Linked DNA regions of Drosophila melanogaster. The protein of the gene in region 4 interacts with the protein of the main gene of each other region in a pairwise test. Each region holds a gene or a part of one and is shown on either strand. Other genes may lie near its edges.

Evidence for each region.
Region 1: the proteins of CG14089 (region 4) and Enoph interact in a two-hybrid assay, tested with the Drosophila melanogaster proteins (one large-scale study listed by BioGRID).
Region 2: the proteins of CG14089 (region 4) and CG9083 interact in a two-hybrid assay, tested with the Drosophila melanogaster proteins (one large-scale study listed by BioGRID).
Region 3: the proteins of CG14089 (region 4) and PolE2 interact in a two-hybrid assay, tested with the Drosophila melanogaster proteins (one large-scale study listed by BioGRID).

Annotation. Positions count from the first base shown.
Region 1 is NT_033777.3:5,253,942-5,259,771, forward strand, and holds Enoph (Enolase-phosphatase), read right to left. Parts: upstream 2,741-5,830; 5' UTR 2,663-2,740; coding exon 2,307-2,662; intron 1,998-2,306; coding exon 1,741-1,997; intron 1,679-1,740; coding exon 1,521-1,678; 3' UTR 1,503-1,520; downstream 1-1,502. Other genes in the region: CG1113 (uncharacterized protein), read left to right, coding at 1-978, 1,033-1,462; Hph (HIF prolyl hydroxylase), read left to right, coding at 3,624-4,180; Tim17a2, read right to left, coding at 4,530-5,204. UniProt on the Drosophila melanogaster protein: Bifunctional enzyme that catalyzes the enolization of 2,3-diketo-5-methylthiopentyl-1-phosphate (DK-MTP-1-P) into the intermediate 2-hydroxy-3-keto-5-methylthiopentenyl-1-phosphate (HK-MTPenyl-1-P), which is then dephosphorylated to form the acireductone 1,2-dihydroxy-3-keto-5-methylthiopentene (DHK-MTPene).
Region 2 is NT_033778.4:24,895,395-24,901,075, reverse strand, and holds CG9083 (uncharacterized protein), read right to left. Parts: upstream 2,804-5,681; 5' UTR 2,735-2,803; coding exon 2,717-2,734; exon of another isoform or gene 2,649-2,716; coding exon 1,713-2,648; 3' UTR 1,571-1,712; downstream 1-1,570. Other genes in the region: Tpc2 (thiamine pyrophosphate carrier protein 2), read left to right, coding at 572-1,543; NaCP60E (Na channel protein 60E), read right to left, coding at 21-232.
Region 3 is NT_037436.4:5,894,478-5,900,527, forward strand, and holds PolE2 (DNA polymerase epsilon subunit 2), read right to left. Parts: upstream 2,959-6,050; 5' UTR 2,903-2,958; coding exon 2,197-2,902; intron 2,140-2,196; coding exon 1,268-2,139; 3' UTR 1,214-1,267; downstream 1-1,213. Other genes in the region: CG5592 (uncharacterized protein), read left to right, coding at 3,171-3,813, 3,882-4,074, 4,132-4,918; CG32409 (uncharacterized protein), read left to right, coding at 5,122-5,270, 5,328-5,580, 5,638-6,050. UniProt on the Drosophila melanogaster protein: Accessory component of the DNA polymerase epsilon complex. Participates in DNA repair and in chromosomal DNA replication. Has a role in the entrance and progression through S phase. Has a role in endoreplication. Essential for viability and tissue development.
Region 4 is NT_037436.4:19,278,293-19,283,231, forward strand, and holds CG14089 (uncharacterized protein), read right to left. Parts: upstream 2,509-4,939; coding exon 1,834-2,508; 3' UTR 1,828-1,833; downstream 1-1,827. Other genes in the region: CG14086 (uncharacterized protein), read left to right, coding at 637-697, 748-822, 1,093-1,341, 1,406-1,532; Gbs-76A (glycogen binding subunit 76A), read right to left, coding at 4,931-4,939.

The DNA.
Region 1 (5,830 bases), on a different chromosome or scaffold from region 4:
CAGCCGTGAACTGCGATCTCAGGCAGCAACTGCTCCAACTGTGGAGCGAAGTGCCAGTGTCAGCAGCTGTTCTGTGGGTCATGGAAAGTCTAAAAAGCGGCCTTCCAAGGGGAAAAAGATAAAGAAACGTCCTTTGGTGCTGGATCCTGTTCCTCCGCCAGCAATCTTAGTGATCCCCGGCCAACAGGATAGATGCGCTACCCGCCCAGTTGTCCATACTCCCAATTCCAGTTGTCTAAGCGACGAGTACGACCAGTGCCTCAGGGACTTGAGTCGTCTGAAAAGTTTTAAGGAGGACTTTGCAGTGGAGGTTGCGGATTTCAAGAGGTCCCTTAAGAGCTTCGAAGCGGAGTTCCGCAGGCCAAAGTCCACGAGCAGCAACGGAACTCAAACACAAACCAACAAGCAAAGTCAGACGCAGAACCGCTGCCAGAAGACTGCCAATCCTGGCCAGCACACGGCAGAACGGGCCAAGTGCCGAAGGGAAATGCTGCGCAGGTGCTTTAGTGTCAATGATCTTCAAGGGATTGCCTTAGAGGCTCATTCGAAGCCTTCCAAACTAGCTCAGCCTGCGCGAAGCAACTATTTCCCACTCAGCAAGCAGGAGGAAATTCCCAAGATACAGATTCAATCACCCACCACCTCGTCGAAGCGAAGTAGTAGTGCTTCCAGCGCAGCAAGAGGTCGAGGAAGACGCGGAAGAGTAAGGAAACCAAAGCCAGGGTCTAGCGTAAAGGATGAGAAGCCACTACCACCGCTGAGCATCTATGAGTTGCCGGAGGAACCGGTCCAGAGGAGAACGCCCAGTGTGTCCCCGTTGCATCCGGTATCTCGTCCTAATCTAGCGGCAACTTTGAGGGCTGAAGTATCTAGGAAGAAGGTTAAGGAGCTGAAGAACAACTGCACTTATCATGATCCTCGTCCGCAATTCGATTGGGAGGTGAGGAAAACGCCGGCTTGGAAATCACTGTCCTTGAAGTGAGTAGTTCACCAAATATTAAGTTTCGCACACATTCAGTGTTCTTTCTTTAGCGAATCCCACAAGGCACTGCTATCCATTCGGTTGGCCACTCGCAAGGCAGAGCAGGCTTTTCAGGAGCGTCAGTACGAACTGCATATGGAGATGATGCGTCAACGGGTCAAATCCGCTCCCCTTCTTCTGGAAGGACCCACGTTCTGGGGTCCAGAAGTGGGCAAGCTCACCCACACCTGCCGGACCGAGGAACTGCGTCATTCGTGCGAGGGGAGCCGGCAACGTAGGAAGAAAAAGTCAGAGTTTCCTGTTCCCGATGCGGATACTAAGCTGCAGCAACTGCGTAAGGTCTATGGCTCAGAAAAGTCCTGTTCGAGGCAGTCTCAACGAAGCAAGCGGTCCGAACGACGGCCGCAGGGGCTCACGACCGAGACGCCCAGCCACGACAGCGGTGACGACCTGTGCAGCGCAGATCGAGCTTTCCTCTAGAGATTCACCTAATTCCCAAGCACATAGTCACAATATATGTATACTTTTTTGGAATGACCTAAGCCTGGGATTTATTGACCGGAACTTTCAGGTTGTGAAGTGGTTTAAAGTCCGGAATCAACTCGAATCCAGTTTTTTGATCGTCTGCTAGGGCGGCGTTTCCAGGACGCTTCAGAATTATGGCTTGCAAGCCCGCACAGCGAGCGGCGGCCGCTTCTAAAATATAATTTCACATTAAAAATGTTACGGATGAGGATTCGTGTGGATCAGCCACTCACCTCCTGGAATATCCGTGAGAAAGAGTATCTGCTTCGGGTCCTCCTTCAATTGCTTGGCAATGTTTTTATAGGACTGCTGTTCCTGTTTGTGGCCCACATGGGTGTCGAAATAAGCACTCAAGTACGGCTGCAGGTTCCCGGCCAAACTATGACCGAATATCAGCTTTTGGGCAGCCACACTGCCGCTGGAGTAGACTGCAATCTGGAGGCCAGCAGCACGCCAAGCCTCAAAAGCTGCAGGGACGTCTTCGTATACACTATAATAACATTTATAGATAATTAATTAATTATCAATAATAATGAGTTGTTGCGTTGTACTTTTGGTTACTATGTTGAATGTTATCTGATAACTATTGAAATCAGCAAAAGTTAAACATTCCCGTGCGGAGAATATAGCTAGCATACATATTTAAAAAATCACCAAGCTGTATAATTGGATCTCAGAAAGACACCCAAATTATTTTTGGGAACAGACGTTAAGTAAGCCTTTTCTTTGATAACCTTCTAGAGTTCAGATTGTAAAACTTATATGGCCATGATAGGAGAATATTGAATGGGGAACTTACTGGCCCTTCAGCTCTCCATTAGCGTAGCCCTGCGCCCAAATCAAGCCCTGCAGCGTTTTCATTGGCGTGACCTTCAGATCCTGATCAATTAAATAGCGCACAAAGCCTGCAATCAGATCTACATCCACTTCCGTAGGTGGACCACTTAACAGGGCCTTGTAGTCCGCATACTGGGGCACTTGCTGTAGATCCTGGACAATACGCTTTATATCATCTTCTTCCCACGAATCCCTCAGGAACTTTTCCACATTCTGCTTGGCGTAGGGAAACAGGACATCGTGCACAAAGCTAATCGAAGTGGTGGTGCCCTCGATGTCCACCAGCACCACTTTGGCCACTCGTTCACTGGACGACATTGCGCTTATTAGTGGGATTAAGTTATCACGAGGAACCAGTTGATTTTCCGCCCAGCATCTGTTTAGTTTTGATAATGGAGATGGCACATCGCGCTATCGACTATCGACTTTAAAATATATATATATAAATGTATTGGAATAGACGATAAGGGTATTTGCCATTCTTAGAGACCTTGCTTAATTGATAAACGATCGACTGAAGTTGTATTAAAGTAATTCTTATGGGGTTAATGGCCGCTTTGAGTTAATTTTCCCAATAGCTTTTTGTTTCCGAATCTTGTGCAATTAAATATTAAAGCTAGTAAATAAAAATAGCGAAATAAAAAGCTTTGATTACCGTTAGTATATAAGTGCCAGTATAAAATAATCACCACTAACGTTGGCTCGTTCAGCTATCGATACCTACTGCCCGCCGGTAATAGTGCTGTACAACGAGTACATGTCAATCGCTGCACGCTAAGTATCGGTCGACGCCCATCGCTATCAAAAAGAAATTTTAGTGCTGAGTTAAGAATTTTTCCCTTTTTTTGCACAGTTTACGCGGTTTTTATAAACAAGGGGCGTAATAGAGCTCAAGGCAGGGTATAAAACAGTCAATAGGGTTAAAAGTTGCAACCCTAAAACGTCTTACAAAAGAGAATACTCGCAGGAAAAACCAACAACAATGCACATATAGCTGCCCGTGCGTCTGTGTGTGTGCGTTGTATGTGCGTTTTTTTTTGTTTATTTGGCAAATTCGGTGGCCTACGTGATTAAAATAAGCACAAACAGTCTTAAGTGAAATGTTGGCTAAAACGCCCGAGTGCCGTAATTCGCATTGATAACAAATAGCCATAATCTGCGAGCGTGTGTGTGTGTGATTGCCTCAGTTGGCGTAGGTGAGGTGGGGTAAAAAAAGCTGGGAGAGCTGTCAAGGTTAAAATCGGTCGTCGCCTTTGGCTCTCCTCTCCCGCAAAATGCAATGAGCAGGGGTCGCGGAAAGGTCAGGGATTCAGCAAGCCATTCCGGCTCCCACTCCGCATCCAAATCGGCCATGGACCCGCCGCGCTGCTCCATCTGCGGCACTCAGCAGCAACTACTGCGCTGCGCCAAGTGCAAGGCCGTCTACTACTGCTCCCCCGCCCACCAGCATCTCCATTGGCCCGACCACCGCACCGAGTGCCGCCTCCTGACCCGCCAAAAGCTCAACAGCAGCAACAACAATAAGCAGCAGCAGCGGCAGCAGATCCAGCAACTGCAACAAGCTGTGGCATCTGCCAATCTGGAATGCAGCGGCGCCGGCGCCAACTGCTCCACCGCCCAGATGATGACGCCTGCCCACCAGGCGCAGAGTTGGCCCGCCGAGGTAGACAACCTGCTGAATCTCCTCGGGCAGCCGGGCAGCCAGGAGAAGGCTGCAGCTGCGGAAACGGAAACAGGTCAAAGGCAGCAGCAGCACCAGCATCATCACCATAATGGCGAAAAGAGCTCCAGCTATCAAATCGGTCTGGCGGATGCCAGCTTCATGGGATCAGGAAGGTAGGTCGTCAGTGGACAGGTCAGATGTTTCAGTTTCAACAGTTTTATGCTAAAACATAAGTTAAAAATGTATAATACTATAATACTGCTCATGGTGGCACGCTAGAAGAGATATATTTTTCTTAGAAGCTCTTTTGAGCCTGCATAGTGCCATAGTATTTTATTAGATGCAATCAAATATCAGCTGATCTTTTATTGAAGATGGAAAAATATTCTCCATGAGATAGAAAATCATTCCTTGTACCTACTGGGCTTTTAAAAATAATATAAGATTAACGCTGAATATCGAATTAACACTTAATTTGGAAGAAGCATGGGAGGTTGACTTAAAACCTTAAAAGCTTTTCTATCAGACAATTTCGGCCAGCTTTACCAGATCGACCAACGAGTGCATTGGCTTCATCAGTTGCCCCAGTTCCTTACCCTCCACTGCGTCCGAACGCATAGGCTGCTGCATCTTGTTGTGTGCCCTGTATGCCCGACATTCATCCAACACCCGCTCTAACTCCGCCCCAGTTAGGTTCGAATCAGCAACGGATGTCTCCCACTGGGGTCTCTGCATTTGCTGGTCAACAGTGATTAGGGACTCCTCTGCTTTGACTCCTCCATCCGATGCATAAATCGTAGCCACTGCTGCTCCAGCTCCTTCGAGCATGGCTAAAACGAGGCAGCCCACAAAGGCACTGTTGGCCATGGCTCGAATTCCATTCCGGGCGGCTAAAATTCCGCCAGTGGCCGCTCCGCTGACAATCGCGTTCCAGGAATCCTCCCTCTGGCGGTACGAGACCATGACGCAGTCCACCGTGCTGAAGGTGGCGCCCCAAATGGCAAAGCTGCCGGCTATGGCCGGTGTCCGCAACCTCACCGATTCTATACCGCCGTGCAAGCCACGTCGAAGACCGGACGGAGCGTTTCGGAATCCCTTGAGGTACTGAAACAACGATCCTCCCATGGTGCCCATCATAAAGGCGCACCCGCAATCCTCTACAATCCTGATGGGACACGGCTGGCGATTGTACTCCATGTTCGGGTGATGTACTGACCAAAAGAATCCGTAATTAATTCAAAACTTGATTTGTAGTGAACTTTCCTTGTTTTGCGAATATGTGCTATCAGCTTTTGACCAATATGGCCTTTGATTAAAAACGTGTGTTTATAGATTATACATAACTTTGAGAATGTTGCCTTACGACTTTTACGTCCGTTCTAACTAGATACAAATATTTACCAATGGTCCTACAAACGAAATATACAGTTTGTCAAGAAACTGTTTACACACTGTGAAATAAGTTGAATTTTTGACTTTAAAGCTAAAAATTAAAGGTTTTTTGCTTAATTAAACGCATTTTTTTTATAAAATATAATTAAACAATATTTATTTTACTTATAAATCAAAAAACAAATTAAAAATATTAAATATACAAGAAAAAAAACAACAAATTCCAAGTTTAAACACTTTTGAGACTGTCAAGAAACTCTTTACACAAAACACTAAATCGATGTTTAATCCTAAATTTTTAAATTATTTTATTAAAATTTTAAAAGTTTTGGTATGTAGTATGTTCCCCATTGGCTTTAGCTACAAGTTGAAGCCCTTTTTTCATGGATTGGACAAGTTTTTGCAGGTCATATTCAAACGGGATCTTTTCA
Region 2 (5,681 bases), on a different chromosome or scaffold from region 4:
TTGAACGCGGCAGTACTCACCTCCTCGTAAATGAAGGTGTCAATCTCCTCCAGCGGCTTTCCGTACATGTGCTCCGGAAAGGGCTCGAATTTGCGGGGCAGCACGTCGCCGTCCTCCACGGAGGCCTTAGTGCGCGGGTGGAAGCCGTACTCCCGCACCAGCTGGATGTGCCGGTTCTCGTGCTTAACCTGCGACCTCTGCGTGTACGCGACAACCTGGTGCTTGGCGACAGCTGAAAGAGATCGAAGGGATTAATAATGCGACAACCAACACAAGCATAGAAATGTATGTACATTCACATGCAGACCCCAACTAAAGTACGTAGACACCTTAAAAATTTTAAGCTTTTACATTCTTGTCAGAGAAATTATTGTGTATTTTAAAATTTCGACTAAATATTAAATTGGAAAATACTGTGTAATTGGCCAGAGCTTAATAAAAGCCTAGCCACTTTCTTATACAGTAGCAGGAAATTTAGCTTGCGGAATGACAACACACCACTTCGTCCTCATCTGTACAGTGAATAACTCCTGCCGTGAGTGAATCCGTCCACTGCTCGTCGCCACATCCGATGCCCGAAAACTCGGTGGTAGTCCAGTTAATGCAGGCCGTCGGCGGCGGAATCGCCGGAGCTGCGACGCGGACCATAACCCAGCCGCTGGACGTTCTGAAGATCCGATTCCAGATGCAAGTGGAGCCGGTGACAAACCATAAGGGGTCCAAATACCGTGGAGTCATCCACGCTTTCAAGTCGGTGTACGCCGAGGAGGGAATGCGCGGTATGTTCCGTGGTCACAACTCCGGCCAGGTTCTGAGCATTTCGTACGCTCTGGTACAGTTCTGGTCCTACGAACAGCTTCGCTCCATGGCCCACCAGTTTGACTACTGGAGGGAGCGACCCTTTCTCATGTTTTTCATCTGCGGCGGCATAGCCGGATGTCTGGGAGCCGTGGCCGCCCAGCCGTTCGACGTGGTAAGAACACAGATGGTGGCCGCAGACCCCTCCTCGCGCCGCAGTCAGATGAACACTTTTACCGGACTTCGAAAGGTCTATAAGATGGAGGGGTGGATGGGACTTTCCCGAGGACTACCCTTCACGCTTGTGCAGGTGTTTCCGCTGGTAGGGGCAAACTTTCTCTTCTACAAGTACCTCAACGCGGCTGTCTTGATGGCCAAGCCTCCCGACCAGCGCCAGGAAATCCACGGCGCATTTCTGTTTCTCAATGGGGCGCTGTCAGGGGTGTTGGCCAAGATGATCGTGTACCCGGCGGACCTGCTTAAAAAGCGCATCCAGCTGATGGCCTTCAAACAGGAACGTAAGACCTTTGGTCGCAACCCCGAGTGCCCTACGATCCTGGGCTGCATCACCACCACGTTTCGGGAGGAAGGAATCGGAGGCTTCTATAAGGGAATGTTGCCTACTCTACTCAAGGCAGGACTGATGAGTGCCGTGTACTTCTCCATCTATGACATGTTTAAGCGCCACTATATAGCTCCGATGAAAGAGGCGGAGAAAAATCGGCAAAAACTGGGCAAGCATTAGGTAAATCACATACTGGGCGGCTGGCTTAAATTATTACACTAACATGGTTTATTTTGTACACCAGTATCTTGGGAGAATGTGTGGAATATGGATGAGCGAACATGTCAAATATAAGTTAAACGTGAACAGTAGACTAGACGACCAGATGGCCAACGACGGACATTGCCGTCTACTTCCAGTTTGAACTGGATCCTGCCCAGCCGCCTGAGGCCGGCGCTGAGTAGCTGTATCCGTCGCCACCGCCGCCGGAAGACCCGCCGTAGGAGCCACCGCTGCCTGAAGCAGCGGCTGCAGCCACCACTTGTGTATCATAGCTGGATCCGCCGCCACTGCTATAGCCACCGCCATGTCCACTGCTGTATCCTCCAGAGCTGTAGGACGAGCCGCTGCTGTAGGAGGAGGCTCCGCTGTAAGAGGATCCACCAGAATATCCACCATCGTAGCCCCCGGAGGAGCCACCACTGTATCCACCGGAGGATCCGCCGCCGTATCCGCCGGAAGAGCCATGTGAATCTCCAGCCGCAGCAGCAGCCACAATCACCTGGGTGTCATGACCTCCTCCGCTGTGACCGCCACCGCTGTAGCCGCCGTATCCTCCGCTGCCACCATGATCAGAGGAGTCTGAGCTGGCGGCGATGGCTGCAATGTTGGCGATGGCATGGCCACCATAACCTCCGCCGTGTCCGCCGCTGCCTCCATGTCCGCCATGTCCGTGATCGGAGGACGAGCCAGCAGCAGCAGCGATGGCAGCAATCTTGGCATCATCATGACCGGAACTATATCCGCCGGAGCTGTATCCGTGGCCACCTCCACCGCCTCCGCCACCCCCGGAACTGTATCCGTGGTTCTCGGTGATAACAGCATAGGTGTTCACATGACCACCGCCTCCTCCACCGCCGCTGTATCCGCCATCGTGGGAGTGAATCTCATAGCCTCCACCTCCATGGCCGCCAAAATCACCGCCTCCGTGGCCGCCAAAATCACCGCCTCCGTGGCCGCCGTGATCCCCACCGCTCTCTGGCAGGTGAATACGGATGTGGACATGCTCTCGTCCGAAGGTGGGCTTTCCCCATACCGCTGGGCTAGCCAGCAGAAGCGCACTGATCTGGGAGTGGGAGGAGGGAATCTGTGTTAGGATCCACCTGAACTGACGTGGTGTCGTGCCAAACTCACTATGAAACGGGCTGCCATTTCTCTGGATTCGTTACGAAGGACTCTCGAATGATTGCTCGCCTCTGGACCGACTGGAAATGATTCGGCAAACATGGGCACACGCCGTTTTATAGCCCTCTTCTCCACTCGGGAGCCATGCGGTTATATAAGCGATCGCTTGCCGCTGAGCAAGTGCAGAGATAATCTCTTTCGCCGACGACGAGCTGAATGAAGTGGAGCCAGACCACTGGAGACTTCACGACCGCGACCCATTGAAGGCCAACTGGCCGCGTCTTCGTCTTCGTCTTCTTCTCGGCCATCCAGTCTTCACTCTCCCTTTCTGAAGATCGCGAGAGTGTTGACCTTTCACATCATCATCCCCAGCATGTGCCCAATTGCAATACCACACGGATAACGTAAAAAAGGGTCTGTGACTCAAAATTATTTTAAATCCCATGGTGTGATGCCAACTTAAGTGTATCAATCATCTTTGGTTTTCCATTTTCAATATTTTACATGATAAACAAAACCGGTTTCGTAGACCAATTTAAGATCGCTAAAAGATATCTTAAATTCCTTTTGCTATATTTACGTAAGAAAATCATATTTTACGAAAGCAGCTTGGATACTGCATAAAAATGTTTTTCTAAATCTAAGACTTTTATTTTGTAATTGTAATACACGGATTCTCCCAGTGCACTAACACACTCTCTCGAGGAGCATTCGCTTCTGTGCTCTACTTTCTTTCGAGAGAAAATCTGAGTGGCCCTAAGCTTCGTGGGCTGGCGGCCGAAAATAGCTAAAACCGAAACTCAAACTGTGGTAATATGCAACTTGACCAGTTCCAGTTTTGGCCCAGAGCTCGTTGCTATTGCTACTTTATCACATCGCCGATGCTGGTTGTTAACCGTTAGGTATTTTGTTGACGTTCATGTTTATGGATTTTTATGTAGATACGACGAACTTCCTATTGGCAATTCCTTATTGTTGGTCCAGACTTGCATAACGATTGGCCAAGGGTTGGCCGGGTTGGCTGCTGCCCGCTGGCTGCTCACTGTCGCTAGTCATTAACCCATTGATGGCCGTACCAGTGCCGGAAATTATCAATATAATTTTGTTTACCAACGCGAAGCAGTGGTGCCGCGGCTGTGAGGCAGGGAAGGAGCCAGTTACTGTTCTTTGGATTGGGCCAGGTCAGGTCGCCGTTTGGCGAGAGGCTCTCGAGCGCTATTGGGTTAAGCCTCGCCTGCAGCAACATCAAAAATATCTTGTCATGCCCCCGCGCTGCAACATGGGCAAAAGGCAACGCGCCGTGGGTTTTGTTCGCGCTTACATCAGCAAGATGTCCGACTGGCAGCGGAGAGAGGTCATGGCCACTGGCCACCCAACACCTCCAACTCACCCACCCACCAATCTGGACGCCCCAACAACCCCCGCCGCCATGCTTTCGCCGTTGATTAGCCACTGTTTTCATTAGCAGTGAGTGACTTGGGCCGAGCCAGCGAATCGGGGCCATCCGGCCATTTCGATTACGTCGCTGATTATCATTTCTCATCTGGCAGCTACGGAGCTAGGCAGCTGACTGCTCGCTCGGCAGATTCCATCACTGCCGAATAATTAATATACATTTAAACTGTTTCGGATTGTAAACAAAGCGGGCTTACATAAGGAACTAGCTGGGAGCAGCAAGCGGGACACCGACGCAATAATCTGTTGCCAATAAAGCCACATCGCCGGTCATAATCACGATGCTGTGCCGAATGAAGTTCGAACTGGAAGCCGCTGAGCTGGAGCAAATGGGCTGCACTCCAGTGCCATCAGAGCATCTTTCAATGGGGATTACATCTTCAGCTAGAGAGGGCCACGCTCACGATGATGAAGCTGCTTCTGCTGCCCCGGCGATGACGGCAATGACGATGGGCAACCGGTTGGCGGTCGCACATTAACATCAGATGCAACGAAGACGCACATCTTCCCCATATTGCATAATCGACCCGGGCTCGCGACTCGAAACTCCAGACCTGCCGTCGCATCTTCACGCGGAAGCAAAGTCATTCTCAAAGCGCCCAAAAACAAAAAGGAAATTGCACACCGATACAGAAACTAAAAGCAACTAGCGACGTGCAATGTCGTGGTTTTCCCAAAAAACCAGTTGCATCCACACACAGAGAGAAAAAGGTGTGCTACAAGTGATTCACGAGATTGTGGGCAACAGTTTTAGAATTGTGGGGAAAGTCTTGAAAAAGTCAATTCGATTTTCTGCTATATTATGGTGCTCTCTTGATACTCCTTATGTACTGCATGCTTTGCTTCGGATTTCCTGGTTTAACTTTCAAAGTTTGTTGTTTAAAGTGCAGCCATTGTTGCAGTTGCAACTGGCATTGCTGCCTCTGTTGCAGTTGCAGCTGCGCAGACCTTTGAGCAAGTTCAATGGTGACGGGAATGGGAATGGAAATTGAAATGGGATTGGGATTTGGACTCGGAGCGGAGGCTTAGGGGGTAGGGCAATTACGCCCCTCGCAGTTGGGGCGCTTGCTCTCGACTGCTTCCTGGCCCTGGCCAAAAACCAAATCCAATTCGAGACTGGCAAGGCGGAAAGGAAGGTGGTCGGTCCAAGCCCCAGCCCAAGCCGAGCCGAAGGAGAAACCGAAACACTGGCTGCAGTGATGCGGGACAAACAAAAGTGAAAAAGTGAATCGGTAGGATAAAGCGAGATGCAGCAACAATTGCTCTACATATTTAATTAGTTTCCGTTTCCGTTCATATTCGTAATCCGCAGATGGCAGCGCCTGCTGGCCTTTGTGCATTGTTCACCTCCCCAGTGAATATACTCCGCTGACAATGGCGCCCTGCGCCCACTTATCAACCCAAGGCCCACCCACTCACTCCTGCTGTAAGGACAAATGGCGCTCTCTATCGGCGCCTGCAAAAACGATTGCGTAACTTATGGCCAGTCATCAGCCGAAACTTTTCGGTCCGACAAAAG
Region 3 (6,050 bases), about 13 Mb from region 4:
TAACCTAAGGTGGGATATGATGGCCAGTTGCTTTGATCCTTGATTGGACCAGGCCCACTTGGGGCGCAGCTGGTCGAGTGATTGATGGCCAAGACACAGATTCACGGATTCCGCATCAGCGATTGCTTTAATCGAGTCCCAAAGTCTGGTGGGCGGGGATCAAGCTGAGCTCCAAATTAAATGGTGTCAACTTTGCGGGGAGAATGCCATAAAAACCGATGACCATAACAGATAAAATGTTTTCTTTTTTATGTTATTGCGGCCAAGTTGCAGAGCAACCGCAAAACAATATTTAAATTTCAAAAGTTGCCAATGTTACCAGTTAAATGAAGCAGAAGCAAGATTGCTGTCGCACAGCAAGCATTTTGAATCTGCCTTTCTGCATTGAGGAGCTGGAGAGAAACCATGTATACAGAGGAATATAAATGTTCAACACTCGAAGGGATAAAATGAAAATATAGTTAGCACCCAAGGCTGACCACGCCCACCAAATCGAATTGACACTCATGGTGGACACATTTTGGAAATTGATCCCAGGGACGTGCGGCATACAACTAGCCAAGTTGCACTCATAAATCATAAATCAATAGGAGAGCAAAACGCTTCGAGCCGTTCGGCAGGAGGAAAAAAAAACCTCCCCACTTCCACATCCTACCCGGCTAATGATGTCTTAAAAAAACGATTCGGCAACTGGTCATGTGACAGCAAATGGGGGCCATCGATGTCCTCAGGTCAAACGCATTATCAAAATTGCCGTTTCAGCTGCCGAGGAGTTGCGCGCCAGCCTGGGAAATTGAATTTCCACGACCCTAAGTGGCCGGCATCGGGCAGAGTAACAATATTTTTCCAAATCGGCTTTAAGTCATGAAAAGTAATAGACAACCCCCGGTCGCCGTAAAAAGCAGATTGCGAGGCGCGTCAGCCGCACAGCCAGGAGACGATTGTGGAACACATGCTGTGCGCATATGATGACTGACGACGGTGATGATGAGACTGGGCCGCTTATCACGAGGGAACAGCCACACGCACTGGGTGCCGAAAAATGTTTCGAGCTGGCGGGCCAAGCAACATGTGAGGTCGCAGTGAGCTAAGCTCCCGAAAGAAGTTTATATCCAAATTGTTAAATTGATGGTATTCTTTCTAAATATAGGCTTGCAGTTGTTTAAAACAAAAAAAAAATTGCCCAAATAGCCCGAAATCCAAAGAGTAATCGACATATGTAATTAAATAATTATTCAAACTTACGTTAAGGTTAACTATATCATAACTACTCCAATTCGTCCGGTATCTCCGAGTCCTCAATCGTTCGCGTCGCTGGTATATACACTTTGAATGCGAACTTGGACTTGACAAAGGAGCCGGTATTGAGAACAGTGCAGCCATGTTGACTGCTGCTAAAGCTCTGACACGAATCGCCCATGACAATCAGATCCGGCAGTGGATACAACCACAGAGCAGGATCGTAGTCCCAGTGCACTGGCATGGCAATCGGATGAATGGGCACCAAATGACCCTGGCACACAATCGTTCTGGCAAAATGCTGCTCGATCTGGGACGTGTCTTCAGGAAAATGCAAGGTGTTGCGACAAAACTTGGCCATCAAATCCAGACGGCAGACCACAATCTGCTGGGTGCAGTACTGCAGGCGACACGGATTCGTAGCCAACTGGGTGCGTGGCCAGGCCTTTAGCAGCCCGGCTGCCAGGCATTCGGGAATTGGAGCACGGGGCAGAATATTAGGTGCCGTGGGATCTTCGGACGAGGGAACGAGTATCAGATCCGTTTGCTTCTTCAGCTGCTCGCAGCCAGCTGCCAAGCCACCCAATGCATCCAGGTGATGCCTCAGTTCATGATGATTCCTTGTGCTGGCCGTGAAGGGACCCATGAGCACTATAGCCTGCGGCGGACAGGAATCATAGCCCACGAACAACTGGCGCAGCTTCTCCATGACAACCGGCAGATCCAACCGAACGTCGGAAAGGAAAACAATGGTTGTTTCCGTGTTGGTACGCTCCAGTTCCTGTAGTCCGGCTGAGTACTTCAGCAGCTTAGCAGATTCACCGCCCCAAGTGTTGGCGGTGCCGAAAAATGCTCGACTGCTGTTTGCCGGTTCCGCAGGTGGAAAGCCCAGGCCATCAACTGGGGAAACATAAGAAACTCTTGAGATGTAGTTATTAAATACTTTGGGCTACTTACCCTTGAGCACACCGTTGTTATAGTTGCCCTCGGCTAAAACAAAGCAGCCCTCGCAGAAGAAGCCGGCATGGAAACGGGCTCCAGTGAGATCTAACTGGACGCAACCCGTGGGATCCTCGACATAGAACTTGCCCTCTTTAAGCTGGGTAAGTAGCCCCAAAACAACTGCCTCCTTCATCGCCGACGTGGCCAGCAGGTTCTCCGCGAACTGGAGCTTAAATTTCTTGGCCTGGGCCTCGGCCCCAACGCCATCCTGTATGACGGCTGGGGCAAAGAGATCGTGTCGCAGAGTTTTCTGTAGTAACATGGCATATCGTTGCTGCATGTAGTCCGATTTCATGCGCGGGGCGGTCAGCAACTGGCGCGGCTGAGTGTCCAGTTCGAATTTCTTTATCCGCTGGTTGTACCGAAAACGGGGCACCGTAAAGGCATCGATCAGGGCAAAGACCGTCTCCCCTTCATCCAATCCCACCCGGTTAAGTTCATTGATGGCCTTCTCCAGGGCGGCTCGCTCCACATGAGGCGTCAAAAGCTTTTGGCTTTGGAGATTCTCGGTGATCACCGTCAGCCATTTGTCCCGTTCCGCTGCGTCAAAGGGTAGCAGCTGCTCCGCCAGGTAGGAACTGTTCTCCGAGCGGATCAGGAATCCACATAGCTTGAAGGTGTTTGTTATTCGCTTTCTCAGCGGCAGTAAATCCACATCCATTGTTATTAAAAGTTTTTTCGCGCGCAAATTAGATATGGATGTTGTCAATTATCGATATCTATGTGCATTTGTGTGACCAGCCGAACATGAAGCTAAAATAGAAGGCCTAGAAAGTAATCGAAAATTGGCGGAAAAAAGTGGAGTTCAAAAAGTTGATATTTGAATGGTTTATTCAAAATAACATATATTTAACTATTTAAGGTTCAAAAAGAGGGCTTTAAAGAAGTTGGCTTTTGTTTAGTACATATTTATAATATTAAATGTCGAAATGCCCCCCAGAGATTGTGAAAAGTATGAGAACTTCTTGCTGTTCATTGGGGACTTTGGCCCCTTTCAGAAGCGACTGCTGTTTTGGATGATGCCCGCCGCCTTTCTGTTCGCATTCACCTACTTTGGTCAGATATTTATGATACTGTTGCCAAAGAATCACTGGTGCAGAGTACGAGAACTAGAGGGACTGCCGGAAAGTGAACAAAAGAATCGGGGAATCCCCAAAAAGCAAGATGGCAGTTTCGAGAATTGTTTTATGTACAATGTGCCCTACGACTCAAATGCGACCAACGATGCGAATCAGACAAGGAGCCCGATACCTTGCAACAATGGTTGGATCTATGATCGCAAGGAGGTGCCCTACGAGTCCATCGCTACCGAGTACAATTGGGTGTGCGACAAAAGGGATTTCGGGACATATAGCGTCGTTGTCTACTTTGTGGGCTGTATTGTTGGTTGCCTCTGCTTTGGATTCATAACCGATCATTCCGGTCGCTTGCCTGCACTATTTCTGGCCAACTCCTGTTCCATGATCGGCGGTTGCGTAAGTGTGGTCTGCAAGGACTTTCCCTGCTTTGCTGCCAGCCGATTTGTGGCTGGACTGTCAATGAACTACTGCTTCGTTCCCATTTATATTCTAAGTGAGTGTTGCAGAGTCAATTAACATAAATCATAAATTTAAATATCATCATCACATTCTTTTCAACAGCTTTGGAGAACGTTGGCATCAAGTATCGCACACTGGTGGGGAACTTAGCCCTCACATTCTTCTTCACCTTGGGCGCCTGCTTGCTTCCCTGGCTGGCCTATGTCATCAGTAATTGGAGGCACTATGCCATGGTCGTTGCCCTGCCAATTGTATTCATGATATTGACCAGCTTGCTGGCTCCAGAGTCACCAAGGTAAATTAATGATAACAATAGGTTTTCAAGCTATCTAAACTTCATTTCCCACTGCAGTTGGCTTATGTCGGTGGGTAAAGTGGACCGGTGTATTGAAGTCATGAAAGAAGCGGCCAAAGCCAATGGAAAAATCATTTCCGAAGAGGTTTGGTCCGAGATGCGGGAATGCTATGAACTTAAATTTGCCAACGAGCAATTGGGAAAGCAGTACACCAGTCTGGATCTCTTTAAGACATTTCCCAGGCTCGTCGTCTTAACGATTTTGATTGTCACATGGATGACTGTGGCCCTAGCATACGATGCCCATGTTCGCGTAGTCGAAATCCTGGACACAGATATATTTATAACCTTTTCCCTTTCCTCGCTCGTTGAAATTCCTGCTGGAATCGTACCAATGCTTTTGCTAGATCGAATTGGTCGCAAGCCCATGATGTCGGCTGTCATGCTATTGTGTGCAGCATCCAGTCTCTTCGTTGGTATTCTAAAAGGACATTGGAATGCATCAACGGCAGCGATTGCAGCCAGATTTTTCGCCACAATGGCCTACAATGTGGGTCAACAGTGGGCCTCTGAGATACTGCCAACCGTGCTGCGCGGTCAGGGACTGGCTATTATCAATATTATGGGTCAGATGGGTGCCCTACTCTCACCACTTGTACTCAGCACCCACCGCTACTATCGTCCCTTGCCCATGTTTATTATCACATTGGTGTCCGTGATAGGCGCTTTAATAATCTTGTTTCTGCCGGAGACCAAGGGAGCTACGATGCCACAAACGTTGGACGAGGCGGAAAAGCGCTGGACGTTACGTTGTAGAGATCGTAAAATAAACGAGGATCTTTAAAAAATTAATTTAAAAACTTATTTTGAAATGGCGCCGATAGACTGATAAGTATATAGCCAAGTTTCCCTGCAAGGTTTGAGTCTTCGGTGCGAGTTTGGTACATTTATTTAGTATTTTTTAGCCTATTCGTTAAATCTAGTGCATGGTCACAGTTGTCAGCACGTGGAATTGAATTTTGCTGTTTATACGCTAATTCCCTGAAAATGGATGTTGTTAAAGAAGTTCTGGCCAAACACCAAAAGGAATTGGACAAATACAAGCCGATCACAGTAGAAAAGCATTTGGAATGCCGACTCGACGTTGGCAGCCTGCTGATCACAGATCCCAACGATTTCGATGACCGGGAATTGAGGTAAGCGGCGGTTTCTAGCGAGGAATACTGATTTTTCACCAGTTCCATTGTTTTTAGGGACAACAAAGAGGAGTACCTGACCGCACTGACACGGGAGAACACCCAACTTTTGGTCAATGCCATTTGGGAGTTGCCCACCGAACGGGTAGACGAGAGCATTGTGGCCAAGCTGCCGGAACCCACGACGGTACTGCCCCGCCTCCGTAAGCCGCCAGGTCCACGTCCGCTCACCAAATGGGAGAAGTTCGCCAAGGAGAAGGGTATCAGCAAGAAGAAGAAGGACAAGAAGACCTACGATGAGACCATGGATGCAAGTTTTTGCTCTTTAATCTTGTCAAGTCACAATCTAAACCTTGAATCTTTATAGAAATGGGTGCCTACATATGGTTTTAAGCGTGCCGAGGCCGAGAAGGCCAAGGATTGGGTGCTGGAGGTGCCACAGAACGCCGATCCCAATACGGACATGTTCCAGAAGAAGATCGACCTGCGCAACGAGAAGGTGGCCAAGAATGAGATCCAGCGGATGAAGAACATTGTGCGCGCCAAGAAGATCGACATGCCACGCAGCGGTTACTTGGGACCCGAGGCTGCCTCATCCAGCCAGTTGTTAACGGCCGTCACTGTGGCCAAATCCTCCACAGCCTCAGTCGGCAAATTCCAAAACAAACTGCCCAAGGAGAAGGAGGCACGTGGTCTGGGCATTAAAGAGCTGATTCCCGGCGGCAAACGCAAGCAGTCGCATATCACACAAACGCCGGAGAAGGAGGCCAACCTGGATCT
Region 4 (4,939 bases):
TGTGCTTAAATATGGGGCATACATATACATATATCTAACTGGCTAATCTGATTGGTTTTTCGCGACCCGGCATAATAAAAACAACTTAATTAGATTGTATTTTTATGGACCACTGGGCGTGGTGGCTCCATAACCACATCTAACCATATCTTATACACTCAAAGTGGATTTGGCTAAGACAAAATGTGAAGCGGAACCATAATGTGGTTAGAATATGAATGCCCTGCGGAGGGCTGTTCGACAAAAATATAGAAACCTTTTAAGTTATAAAATTTAAGTTCGTCATGAATATTGAAGTTTCTTCCAAGCTATTTATTATTAATTATCATTATGTTATTTCGTAATGTGTAGGACATTGCCTTCTTAAAATACTCTATTGCAAATGATGTAAGCTTCAGTAAAATTGCGATAAACTTCTTGAGCTCACCTCGTTTCCATTCATTGGTTTTGTATTACATTTTATGGCCAAAGCATGGTAAACAAAAAAGGCCCAGCTCAATAAATATGCTTATAAATATATTTGCCTAGACACACTCACATTATTTTATAGGCTCGTTCAAGGATAACACTCCTCGTTTCAACCCGCCAAAAAGGACCCCCCGCACCGAACCTTTCTTTAGCCATTTTTCATTTCAGTTATCTGCGGCGTTGGCGTTGATGTCTACATGCATGGCTATCGGGCCGGTCTTTATATAGTGTAAGTCACGGATCTAAATATCCCCCATAACTATACTAATTTCTGGTTAGTTTTTCAGCCGTGCTGGTAATGTTTATCGAGATCAAGTGGCTTGTGACTATCTTCCTGCAACTTCAGTGCGCAGAGTAAGAAAACTATTCAAGATTACCAAATAACATGTTCATAAATTATAGTTATTCGTATATATATTATTTGATAATTAGCAGTTATTATTTATGAAATATAGAAATTCTAGTTACCAAGCCTAGTAGTTGTAAAACTAATTAAACCCTAATTATACTATAATATGATATACTTTACTATTATATACAATACTCTATATCAAGTGCCTTTGCTCAGATTTTTCTCTGCAAATTTTTCTCTGTTCACATATTTGTGAATTCAATTTGTTTCAGGGATAATTACCAGCGAAGGTCCTGCAGCTGCTTGGCCTGCTGGCGACTTTCAGCGATTTGTGGCGGTTGGCGACCCACTCCTGTTTATGCGGTCATCGGCATCTGCCTGATCCTGTATCCCCACAATCTGTGGCTGAGTTATGTGGCCGGGATGTTCCTGATACTCCTCGGACTCCTCAGACTGTGCACGCTGCTCCGATTCAGCGCCTCGAAGGAGGAGGGTCTCCTGCCGCAGTGCGACTTTGAAAAGTGATGCCAGCCAACGAATGTCTTTGTTATTTGTTTCTAATGTCTGTTTGTTCTGCGATGATAGGGTGTCGAGCTTTGTGGATACCATGGAGGATGATTTCGCGGAGATTGGTGCCACGCAAGCGGGATTGGATGAGGAAGCGGAGGAGGAGGGCGACGACCACACCGCCCTAGACGACGATGTTTGCTAATAGTTTAAGCCAGCTTTTCTGCCTAATGTAATGTGAGATTTTAAACGACTTAACAAATGTCTAATAATATACAGTTTGTAAAGAGGTTTCGATTTAAACGCTGAGTGCGTGGTATATTTTTATAGGTAATCGATAAACCCACACTTTGTATGATTTTTGGTGTCATTTATAAACGAAGCCACTCAAAAGTCAAAAAGGACATTCTTCAAAAGAATTTTGAAAGTTCCTTTTAAGTATTGGGTATCTGCTTTTTACCTACAGAAATAATTATCAAAGCTATTTCGTTTTAAATAATGTTATTTTAATTTCGTCTTTTATTGTTTTTTGTGCTAAACGGATTTCTGCGTTCACTAAAGGCCAAAATGAAGGGCTGGTCGTCGAATTCTTCGGTTTTTCTCAGACCAAAAGAACGCTCATTGCCGTAATCATACTCGTCCTCATCATAGTAGTTATAGTAGTGCCTCTGGTGGCCTTTAGGGCCTCCATGTCCATGTGATGGAGGAGGAGGAGGTGGAGGATACGGATACGGTGGATATGAACCTCCGGGATATCCAGGAGGACCCTGAGGACCAGGTTGGCCAGGGATTCCAGGCATCCCGGGGTGGCCCTTATCTCCACGCGGCCCCTTCTCGCCGGGATCACCCTTGGATCCTTTGGGGCCGGGATAGCCCTTCTGCCCCGGCTGTCCCGGTGGACCAGGTGGACCTGGAGGACCGGGCGGACAACCGCATGGCTGTGGCTGAGGATACGGATACGAATAGCTTGGCGGATAGTGTGGCGGATGATAATGTTGATGATCGTGATCCTCCTCTATGATCACTTCCTGTGGCGGGGCTGGAGCGGGACTTCCAGTTTGGAGGGTGATCAGCCGGGGCACTGAGGCATCATCCTTGGCGAAAACTCCCCCAAGAACAGACAGTAGTGCCACCAGCAGAATAGTCCAGTTCGCAGAGAGAACTTCCAGATTCGACGACATGCTGTGAACTAACGAAAATCAGATCGCAGTCACTTCTTTTATGTGGATAAATGCGTTTGAAAAATGGCAACAGAGGAGAATCATTCAAACTCCCGTTAAGATAGCTCATTTGAGATCTATATGTCTTGTCTTACGATCGCATTATATTTGTATCGTATGCTAATTTCTCTTGTTTAATAAACCAAGCCATTTATTTATAAAGTATCTGATTTGCATAATATTCAATGAATGAGTTGAGTTTTTGGGCTGATGAAAGAACTTTCACACCAAATGGATGTCGGACTTTGTGATCGAGCCATGAAAAGTGAATTCTCGTATTCTAGGATAGATCAATTAACAGGTATATGTATATCATTTCTGCGCGTAAAAATAACATAAACTTTTACACAAATTTCATATGGAACCAGAGCAATGACTGGTGGTGACCGAGATGATGATTTTTACATTTAAACGGAAACATTAACCATTTTGAATAACTAATGTGTAATTTGCTAACACCTGAGATACCACCTGTCCGTCCCTGTGAAGCACAAAAGAAAACACTTTCGAGACATGCTAAGAATGTCTGTTCGCAATTTTATTTAACTGTGGCTTCTTTATTATTCTTTTGTAAGTGTAAAGTGGAACTCATGATGACAAGAGCCCCGCCCACATAAACCTCAACAAATTTCTGGTTTTTGGGCAGATCTCATAACACTTTTTGCATACTCACGCTTCAGTCTAAGTCATTTGGATTTGTGGACATTAGTTATGTTCGAGAAGTTTCTGTTTTTGTTAACATATGTATGTAAATAGTTGTAACTTTTAAAGTTCGTTTTATTTGTTGTTTTGCTTTTGTTTTACACATGTTTGCTATGCAATAAACATATTAAATAGTTTCTTTAATTATAAATTTACTTTGTTTAACTATTATTCTCTCTTATTCGTGTTTTCGGTCGGAAAACGTTGAGGTAGCTGCGTTTGCAATTAATTGTTATAAGTAGCTATTCGCTTGTTTATATCCCTGATATAGGCTATTTAAGGTTCTGTTGTGGATAAGAAGAGCTCAAATTGTATTCATTATTATTCAGACAATACATAGATAATTGAAAGAATCAACCGAAAAGGAATAACTAAAGTTTATGTTTATTTTATTTTGTATATATATTTATATAATATTACGATAGATATATTACGCATCAACATATACATAGAAAATATTCAAATCGTTTAAATTAAAATTAAAGCATATAAAAAATCAAACATTAGAAGAATATCAACAATTAAGAGAAACAAAAGTTAAGGCTTGTCTGCTGTGTCTGATGGCTAAAAGGGGTTTTTCCGATCGGGCTACAAATATCATCGGATTGGAGAATATCCTTTTTGACTGCGAATAGTCAAAAGGTAGCAAAAGTAAACTCGAGTTGACTAGATAGTGGATGGTGGTTAGTTATAGTTAACTTTTGACATGGTCTCTGTGCTCGAACGGATCTGCTTTTACCGAACAAAAAGTATTAAAATGGTGCTAAGCTCATATTCAGAACTGTGATTAATGGCAATTAATCTTTTCACAAAACTGATTCATTTAAATCATCATGATACATTATCTGGCAGATACACAATCTTAATAGCCCGATCCAACTGGCAATCGCTTTCGCATGACAAACAAACCTAGGAACAAACCAAATAAAAATTGGGAAAAGTAACTAAAAACAGAAGAAGACATTGAAGAAACTGATCTGAGTTTTAGTTTGTTATCACTTGCTCTTCTTATAACATACGACTAACAACTATCTTTGGGATTCATTCGAACCTTGCTGGCTTTTGTTCTAGTTCGCACTACTCTGGTTTGATTCTTTAGTTTTTTTGTGGCGCTCTTACAGCTCCTCTTGCCCTTCACTAACCCTTCAATCTTTTCCATTCATTCTATAAAAATATATAAACAATGTTTGCCGTCCTTGGAAGGCTAGGGTGGTTCGATTTATCGACGTGCAGGGACTGAAATATTCTTGTGGGAGTTATGTAATTTCTTGACATTTCGTACAATAGTTCTTGTTGTTAATAACAGCTCTTAAGTTCCAAAATATCAAAACTTAATCTGCCTTTGACTGAAAATTTCATTCCAAATTAGTTCCAGTTGTGTTGATACGTTACGTTAAGAATTGCCAAAAAAATACTTAGTTCCTTGTGGATTTTCTAACAAAAAATCCAATCACCCCAATGAAGAGTTAGCCCCACGAAGGTTGGTATTCTGATCTGTGATCTCTGACTGGGCGGTCATATGGGACTGCTTGGATTTGATTTCTTACTGGGACATAGACACCACGTCAAGGCCCGGAAACTTTCCCAGATCTTGGTGTCGTGTCGTTGGATTGGGCATGGGAGAGGGTGTTGGATTCTAGACGGGATGCTAGTGCCTTTAGTGCGGGCCCATCGCCACCGGTTAGTAGAA